2 linked regions of the Neurospora crassa OR74A genome follow. The protein of the gene in region 1 interacts with the protein of each later gene in a biochemical or structural test. Links are inferred from orthologs where the notes say so. Each region holds a gene or a part of one and is shown on either strand. Other genes may lie near its edges.

Evidence for each region.
Region 2: the proteins of NCU08046 (region 1) and NCU03876 form a complex in vitro, tested with the Saccharomyces cerevisiae proteins (4 studies listed by BioGRID, with this or other methods). The link is inferred for Neurospora crassa OR74A from reciprocal best matches to the Saccharomyces cerevisiae genes TIF35 and TIF34.

Annotation. Positions count from the first base shown.
Region 1 is NC_026504.1:4,018,360-4,022,800, reverse strand, and holds NCU08046 (eukaryotic translation initiation factor 3), read left to right. Parts: upstream 1-1,732; 5' UTR 1,733-1,802; coding exon 1,803-1,828; intron 1,829-1,884; coding exon 1,885-2,139; intron 2,140-2,295; coding exon 2,296-2,944; intron 2,945-3,148; coding exon 3,149-3,373; 3' UTR 3,374-3,887; downstream 3,888-4,441. Other genes in the region: NCU08047 (hypothetical protein), read left to right, coding at 1-855. UniProt on the Saccharomyces cerevisiae protein: RNA-binding component of the eukaryotic translation initiation factor 3 (eIF-3) complex, which is involved in protein synthesis of a specialized repertoire of mRNAs and, together with other initiation factors, stimulates binding of mRNA and methionyl-tRNAi to the 40S ribosome.
Region 2 is NC_026506.1:1,994,789-1,999,062, reverse strand, and holds NCU03876 (eukaryotic translation initiation factor 3 subunit 2), read left to right. Parts: upstream 1-1,482; 5' UTR 1,483-1,744; coding exon 1,745-1,794; intron 1,795-1,921; coding exon 1,922-2,519; intron 2,520-2,651; coding exon 2,652-3,044; 3' UTR 3,045-3,527; downstream 3,528-4,274. Other genes in the region: NCU03877 (C-1-tetrahydrofolate synthase), read right to left, coding at 1-439; crf4-1 (chromatin remodelling complex ATPase chain ISW1), read right to left, coding at 3,995-4,132, 4,200-4,274. UniProt on the Saccharomyces cerevisiae protein: Component of the eukaryotic translation initiation factor 3 (eIF-3) complex, which is involved in protein synthesis of a specialized repertoire of mRNAs and, together with other initiation factors, stimulates binding of mRNA and methionyl-tRNAi to the 40S ribosome.

The sequences.
Region 1 (4,441 bases):
CTCGCCGCCTCTCATCCCCTCTCGAGTTTGAGCACGTGGAATTTCGATCCCAGCAGCCCTTCGAGCTCTAGCAAACGATCCAGCCAGCGTTATTCGCTCACTAGGTCAACAAAATCCCTCCCGGAAGAGGAAGTTGAACCATCTTCTCCACCTCCTCCGCTACCTTGTCAGATGCGCGGCGGTTCACGGAGACCCCCGCCCTCGGCTCTGTGCCTCAACTCACGCCCGCTCTCTTTTGTGGTGGATCAACCGTCGCCTGAATCGCCGTCGCTTGATAGGAAAGGTGTTTCAATCGAAGTAGCTGATGAGACAGCACCGGAACCGGAGTCCCTTTTCTCGTCTTGGGGATTGCCGGACGCAACCAAGCAACGTTGTGACAGCGGCGAGGACTGGGAGAATCTCTCTCCCACACAACCTGTCACACATGGTAGCCCTGAAAAGAGGTCAGGCTATGCTCCTCCATCATCAGTGGCTTTCCAAGACATGCTCAGATCCACTCCGTCCGTCGGCGATTACCCAGGTAGCCCATCGAAGCGCGCCGATAGAAGATTTAGTCTGCAGTCTCAGCTGTCAGAAAGGTCAAGCGAACCTGATCGCAGTTTCCTTGATCTGAGTGACCTCGGTGACGATCTCGGCGACCTTCCCCAGATATCTTCAACTTCACTTTCGAAGCAGGGCTCGAGACCCGCGCCCCATTTTAGGTCTTTGTCGGTTGCCAACGGCGGCTTGGGTTCGCGACGGAATAAGACACAGCTGGCGGAAGGTCCCCCACCTGCTCCCCCGCCGAATCGTGCCCTTCCTCCAATCCCGAGAAAATCGTCACTTCAAGTCTGTCACTCAGCATATTCACCTTGAGCTGTGATTTGCATTTACTCGTATCTGGCGCCATACCATCATTCAACGCATCGCCATTTCTGGACGTCTAGGAAGCACGACCACTGAAGTTTCCGAGTATCTGTCAGCGACAATACTTGCAGAGCAAAGGGCGCCTGGGGATTCAACTGATAGAGATAAACCGCCATCGAACCGCTGATTGACTCCGTCACCATTTCCTTTGTCTCTCTTTTTTCAAGGTCGGGTTCAGTCGAAAAACAAGATACCGGTTAGATGGATGGAATAAGGATGCAGGAAGCAAGATACTGGATACCCAGGTGATGAGGGTACATTTATACCACCGGCGACATCCGGAACGTAACGTGTGAACGATCTCCTTTGTCAGGTCGATTTGGTGCGGGATTTGTCTTTTTTTGCCATATACCTTGTATTATGTAATGTTGGGGTACCTACTGTGTATGTAGGTGATTAATTGAGGAGGTGAGTGTGGTGGGCATGAAGGGCGGGGTGGTTTTCGATTCTCAATCGGAGGAGGGGGGTCACAGAGTCAGAAGAAAGCTGGTGCCCGGCAGGCTCCGTGGCCAACTTAGATAGCAGTGAGTTTAGAGCATCAGATATGGATGCTTGGAGAAATCTGAATCGAGTTCAAACTCTCAAACTTTAACCTCGGTGCCAGCCATCAACTTGCAAACAAAGGTACCTACTATGTACAACACGTCCTGGTGTCGAGAGAGTTGAGCTAGCTCCATGTTGCGGCGCCGCGCCCTGCCCCTGGTAGGCCTGGAGGAGCAACGTTCGGGTTAGGGTTGTGATGCCTGTGATGCCCCCACTAATGGATGCGAAGTGGAAGCAACCCAAAGCGGATAATGAAAGAAGGGGCAAAACACCTCAACGTATACGTCTGGATGCGACCAGTCCTGCTTTGTCAAAGAACGAAGCTTCGTTTGTAGGGAGCCGTATTGGCTGTCATGTGCGAATCTGCTGCCTTGATATTGTACGTAGGATAGAGCACCGTTAGCTGCCAAACAGGGCTGATTTCCTGAGTGAAAGCCGAGTCAGCAAGACAATTTTTGCCCCACACTCAAATATCCAAAAATTCCCACCTCCAAAAAATGGGGGGGAAAACTGCCCTGGCTTTTCAAACTTGAGCCCCACCAAAAATCGCCGCCAAACCAGCGCAACGTCAACCCATCGCGACGACAACCCACGGCCATTTCAGTCATCCACCGCACCCATCACCAGACGAGCCGAACCTGCGGAATCAAAACAACCACATACTGTCAAGATGGCTGCCGTTCAACAGAAGTCAGTACTCCTCCGCTTGCCTCGACAGCAAACGCCCGTCTGCATCCACGCCCCCGATTCCCCCGATTGCCATTTTTCCGGCGTGCTTCACAACCCAACACGTATGCATTTGATTTCTCGGAGAGTAAGAGTCTAACATAGTTCGCGACCATTCAGGCACGACTGGGCCGACGATGACGAGCTCGAGGAGACCTCCACCGAACTCCCGCCCCCTCAGAAGATCACCAACAAGGATGGCAGCACGACCATCATCGAGTACCGCCTGAACGACAACGGCCAGAAGGTCAAGACCACACGACGCATCCGCTACATCACCCACCGTGAGGTCGTCAACCCCCGCGTCGCTGAGCGCAAGTCGTGGACCAAGTTCGGCCTTAGCGTCAAGGACGGCGCCGGCCCGGCCCCCGACACCACCTCGGTCGGCGAGAACATCATCTTCAAGCCTTCCTTCAACTGGCGCCAGGAAGCCAAGGATGAGAGCAAGGACCCCAACGCCCAGGCCATGAAGGACAAGTTGAAGGACAAGAAGGTCAAGTGCCGTATTTGCAACGGCGAGCATTTCACCGCCCGCTGTCCCTACAAGGACACCATGGCCCCCATCGGCGAGGCCGGCGCTGCCGCCGACGTCGCCGCCAGTGCTGCTGACGAGGCTGCTGCCGCTTCCCAGGGTGCGGCGGGCGCGGGCAAGAAGGGCTCGTACGTGCCACCTGCGCTGCGTGGTGCCGGTGGGGCCGCGGCTGCTGGAGAGAGGATGGGCGGCAAGTACGGCGAGCGCGACGATCTCGCCACTCTCAGAGTTACCAACGTACGTTTGCCCCTAGTGTCCCCCAAAAGGACGCGGAGGAGGAGGAGGAGGAGGAGGTGGTGGTGGTGGTGGAGAAGAAGAAGAAGCAGAAGGAAAAGGGAAAGAGGGAGTAGGCGACAGACTTGCAAAAGCTGCTCTGTTCTGCTCCTAAAGAGGGGTTATTATGACGGGACTGATTCGTGCTAACATGTTTTCTACGCTTAGGTCTCCGAGATGGCCGAGGAACAAGAGCTTCGCGATATGTTCGAGCGGTTCGGTCGCGTCACTCGTGTCTTCCTTGCCAAGGATCGCGATACGGGTCTTGCCAAGGGCTTCGCCTTCATCAGTTTCGCTGATCGCAGCGACGCTGTCAAGGCTTGCGCCAAGATGGACGGTTTCGGTTTCAGACATTTGATCCTTAGGGTTGAGTTCGCGAAGAAGGCTGCGTAAACTTAATGGGTCTTCTAGACGGACGAGGAGGCGGAGGAGAGGGAGGAAGGGGTTAGAGGAATGATGGAAGAAGCAGCGATGTTTTGGTCCCTAATGCGGTCTGCACAAGGAAGTGCGTCATCAAAATGGGAAAGGACTCTTTGATACTACTATTACTTGATCTGGTTCCTGTCTCTTCTTGCTGTGGGGGTTCATACTAATGGGGAACAAGCGGCAAAATTTGTCATGATCGAGAGATTTCTTCCGCCTTTTAAGCATATCGGGCCAGGGTGGCCAGGTGGTTATAGTTGACTTTTGTTACATGGATGACGGGCTAACTCCAGGTTGAACAAGATCGGTGTAATAGACTGGCAACATGCCCGGACTACAGGAGCCCAAAACGCACCGAAGCTCTTCAGAATACAGTGTGGTCTTCTTGTCGATTCAGGGCGCATGCCAGTGTTTAAAACAGCTGACAGCCTCTCTGAACTCTTGAATTATTATCAGTGCATTTATCTATCCCGCTGAACGTCCCTGGCATCAAACATTATATTACTTGGTGACAGAATCTGTTATGATGTCCTATCATCAACTCAACCGACCAATCGCAAAGACCGTAAGTTCCTGAGCTCTCTCAAAGCAGCCGGCACGTCCCTTCATCCTCTTCATCTTCCTGTCTCATTCATCTCATCACCGTAAAAGTCGTTCATCCCTCCGCCCTGCCCTCATAAATCATGAAGTCTTGGAAGATGTCGACAAAGAAAAATGGCTGGTTGCCTATAAGAGAAATAAGAAACAAATATCACTCGAGAATGAAATGAAAAAAAAAAAAAAGGGGGGGGGGGGGGGACATTCGGCGCAAAGAAACCTCAGCAACAACACCATGAACACACAAGAACAATAGCCTCCCGCCCATCATAACCCCTACACCTTCTCATCCCTAGACCTTCTTGCCTTTCCCCTCCTCCTCCTCCTTCGGTCATGATCACTCTCTCCATCAGTATCATTCCCTTCCTGCCTTTCCTTCTCCTCCTCATCGTCATTCTCGCTTCCATTCACCTCTTTCAGGCATGTTCCACCCTCCTCTTC
Region 2 (4,274 bases), on another chromosome or scaffold:
ATGGTGCAAAGGGTAAAGTGTCAGGCAGAGGCAGAGTTGAAGATGAGGGGGAGAGCAGCGCATTAGCTCCAAAATCGCTAGCAGCTGCTGCCCCGGCGCATGACGGTGACACCAGAATCGACCCCGTAAGCCCCGTCACTGGAGATAGGCGCCAATAACGGGATTTCTTAGGGCGGCTGCAGGTGGATCGCGGGGCGGCGGAGAAGTCAGTGGTACCAGCTGCAGAGGCGACGAAAGCCGAGGTAGAGCTCCGAGAGTCGGATTCCGTGCCCCACGACAATGTCCATCTTTTGAGCACGTCTTGTCCCGTATGCTCGACTTGAATGCGCCGCCGTGTGTTCAGCGACCCGTGTGCGGACAGGGATGTGAGACAGCTTCCGGCTCGACGCGACTTCCTTGACGTGGAAGACACCCTCTGGATGAAGCTGGAGATGGCCATGCCTACACGACGCAGACTGGTACTGTAGAGCTAGAAGAAGGGTGCAGTGGTCTTTCTGCGTGCGTGCTGTAACAACATCACACTGAACAGCAGCGGACGCAGGCTCGGGGTAAGGGATATTCAGAAGCTCAAGACTTCCGCCCGGCCAAGCTCTCTCGACGCCCCCGGGCACCTCCACGACGGGGTGGGACCAGACGGATTCGGGACCCAGGGGTTTTCTGCGCCGCACAGAAGAGTCACAATGGGTTCCCGCCTAGGTAGACGACGGGGGATCGATGTCGAGGATCCAATGATCGCCGGTTTGCTGGCGGGAATAGAGGTTTCGTGATTTGTGATTTTTTTTTCTTTTTTTTTTCTTTCTTTCCCTTCTCGAGGAGTCACCGAAGGTGAGCGTCTCAAGACGTGCCGCAAATGACCAGTGTAAATGTGACAACAAAACGTGAAGCCAATGAGATAACCTAAATAGAATAGAGCCCAAACCCAAGCTTCTCAAAATAGTACGTATTCACCATGCATTCTTGCAAGAATCCTACCATGTCTCGTTAGAAAAGCCTCTATTTCCGTCTACAAATCTCCGAGAGTTGAAGAACTTTTCCTCCTCGATGCGACCCCCGGAAGAGGGCATTCATATAACTGCAATTGAAGTGGGTGTCTAGATGCTGCATCCATGACTCTACAAGTTCTCGGCTTGCTGCAGGTAGCAGCTCGGATCATGATGTGCTCGCACTGTCCTGTCTGTGTCGTTGTTCTAGATTGAAGTTGGTGTGGCTTGCGGCCGCGGCACAGGCTTGACGAATACAGCTGACTCTTAAACTCTGAGTCACAGACTGAGCCACAACTTCTTATCGGTGGCTGTCGACGGGCCGGCAGGCTGCGAGCGGCGGATCGAGGTGGCAGGCTGCATCGCAAGGTCCAGAGTCCGGTCCGAACTGAAACCAGCAGCTTCAATGGATGGCACACGGCTGGCTGGGACGAGGGACTGGAGAGGGGCAGCTTGGCATCTGCAGGGATAGGTGTTGGTTCGCCCCGCGGCCGTCAGAATCCGCCAGAGCCAGCCAGCCTATCGCGCACAATCTGCGGAAAAATTACTGGGAGTGGAAATCCACCCAAAGAAAGAACACCAAAGACCGATCCGACGACGACGACCGCATCTACAAAGACACTAATCCACCCACCTACCTCCCAAGTCGTGCAACCCCCCCCCGCGATATTTCTCGACGACGAATCCACTCAGTGTCTTCTAACGACCATAACACTTCCATACCGCCGTCCACGCCTCGTCATATTTAATAACCCACAATCAAGATGAGGCCCATTCTTCTTTCGGGCCACGAACGTGCCCTCACCCAGATCAAGTTCGTCTTCCCTCCGCATCATCATCGCATACCTTACCCGCCGACCCGACCCCTCTTGGTGTTCTGGCTTTGGCATGTCGGGCATATAGAGATGCAGCCTCTAACAGCAACCCTTTACCCCCAACAGGTACAACCGCGACGGTGATTTGCTCTTCTCAGTTTCCAAGGACCAGCAGATTTGCGTTTGGTTCGCGCACAACGGCGAGCGTCTCGGTACATACCACGGCCACCAGGGCGCCATCTGGACCATTGATGTCGACCCCACATCCACCATCCTCGCCTCTGGTTCTGCCGACAACACCATCCGCCTTTGGGAGATCAAGACCGGCAGACTTCTTAAGACATGGGACTTCCCTACCGCCGTCAAGCGCGTTGAGTTCAGTGAGGATGGCAGCAAGCTTCTGGGTGTGACGGAGAAGCGCATGGGTCATCTGGGTACCATCGTTGTCCTCGACATCAAGCTCGATGTTGACGCCGAGCAGAGCGATGAGAAGGCCATGACTATCGTTTGCGAGGACAGCAAGGCCACTGTTGCTGGCTGGAGTTATCTCAGCAAGTACATCATTGCCGGCCACGAAGACGGCTCCGTCTCCCAGTTCGACGGCAAGAACGGCGACCTCCTCTACAACATCCCCATCCACGAGCTCAACCAGCCCATCACCGATCTCCAGTGGTCGCACGACCGTACATACTTCATTACCGCCTCCAAGGACAAGACCTCCAAGGTATGTCACATGGCTCCACAACCCCCCCCCCCCCCCTTTTTTTTTTCTTTCTTTGGTCTTCTTCCCGGATCCTTAAAACCGAAATCAATGAACAGTCAATCGCATGCTAACACTCCTTGATTATTTTCACAGCTCATCACAGCTAAGGACCTGGAGGTCCTCAAGACCTACCCCGCCGACACCCCTCTTAACAGCGCTACCATCACTCGCAAGAAGGACTTCGTCATTCTCGGTGGTGGTCAGGCTGCCATGGATGTCACCACCACCTCCGCGCGTCAGGGTAAATTCGAGGCGCGTTTCTACCACAAGATCTTCGAGAGCGAAATTGGTCGTGTGCGCGGTCACTTCGGTCCCCTCAACACGGTTGCCGCCGACCCGACCGGCAAGAGCTACGCCAGCGGTGGTGAGGACGGTTACGTCCGTATCCATCACTTCGACAAGGGTTACTTTGACTTTATGTACGAGGTCGAGAGGGAGAGGCAAAACAAGCTCAACCAGCAACAACAGCAGACCATTTCTGCCTAAACGGATCCCTTCTATCGACATCGATCGAAACTTTCGGACTTTCAGCAAGCAGGATCCGAGGAGGGGCGGCAGAAAGGGGCGGAAAGGCGATTCGCGGGACGAAATATGGGTGTCGTGTTATTGAGTTCAGGATTCTCTCGACTTGTCGGAGGAAGGAAATGAGCAAACGGGTTATTTTACATCGCGCGTCCAGGGATCCAACAATTTGGGGGAAATGGGCATTTCACAAACGGCGTTTTTTTCAGGCAACCTAATCTGAGAATTTGGGCGATTCCACCCAATATTTGGTGAAAAAAAAAGTGAAAAGGAGCAAAAATTGGAGCGATGAGGTGGTGCGGTTCGATGTGAAGCAAACGAACGAACAAGTGAGTCGCGCGGAGAGCGGATATGTAATTTCCATCTTGTCACGAAAGGAACCTTTGGTCCCTATCGAAGCACAGAAGAGTCATTTGTCATAGTTGAATTCGGTCGTTCTTCTGCTTACTATCTTGCGCAACCTCGTTCATGTGATATCAGATTGGACGTTATAAGTAGAGGTCTTTCGCCAATTGCTTACTCACTCCCTTATGGTCAATAAGAATCCAACACAAGTGGAAACAATAATACAGGGGTAAAGGAAGTACAAGACTGCGCACATCATGCCCTATTCATCCATCAGAGAACGGATTTGACCAAAAGGATATCTTTTGTTCCTCAGGTAGGCAGAGAAATCCCTCGCTAAATGACGGCAGGTGAGATAACCATCACCGAGACCGCAACATGAATACGACACAACGGAAACGCCGCGAGCCAACTGCATTAACCCTCCCTGGACTCTTCTCAGTGGTGAACCGAGCCCCTTCACCCAATCTAACCCAGTCATATGAAACGCAACTACAGCTTCGAATACCAAGCCAAGTCAATACATGTGCCGTAGCTTGTATTTTTGGTCTGGACCACCATCAGGCGGTCTACTTCTTCTTTCCCTTGGGGGCAGCCTTGCCCTTTGTCGCCTTCGATTCCGTCGACGCCACGCTTGACGCGCGCGAAGGGGCAGCCGAGGTGGCTTTGCTACCGGACGCTGACTTGACGTTGTCTAGCGCTTTGTTCTGTTACGCGGGTAAATTCAAGTTAGTACGAACATCTCCAAAGTGAGAAAAGCAGGGGATGGTTTACCTTGACACCATTAGCCTTGGTCTTCTTCTTGGCAGGAGCCAGGCCCAAAACACTGTCTTCGTCATTGTCTTCATC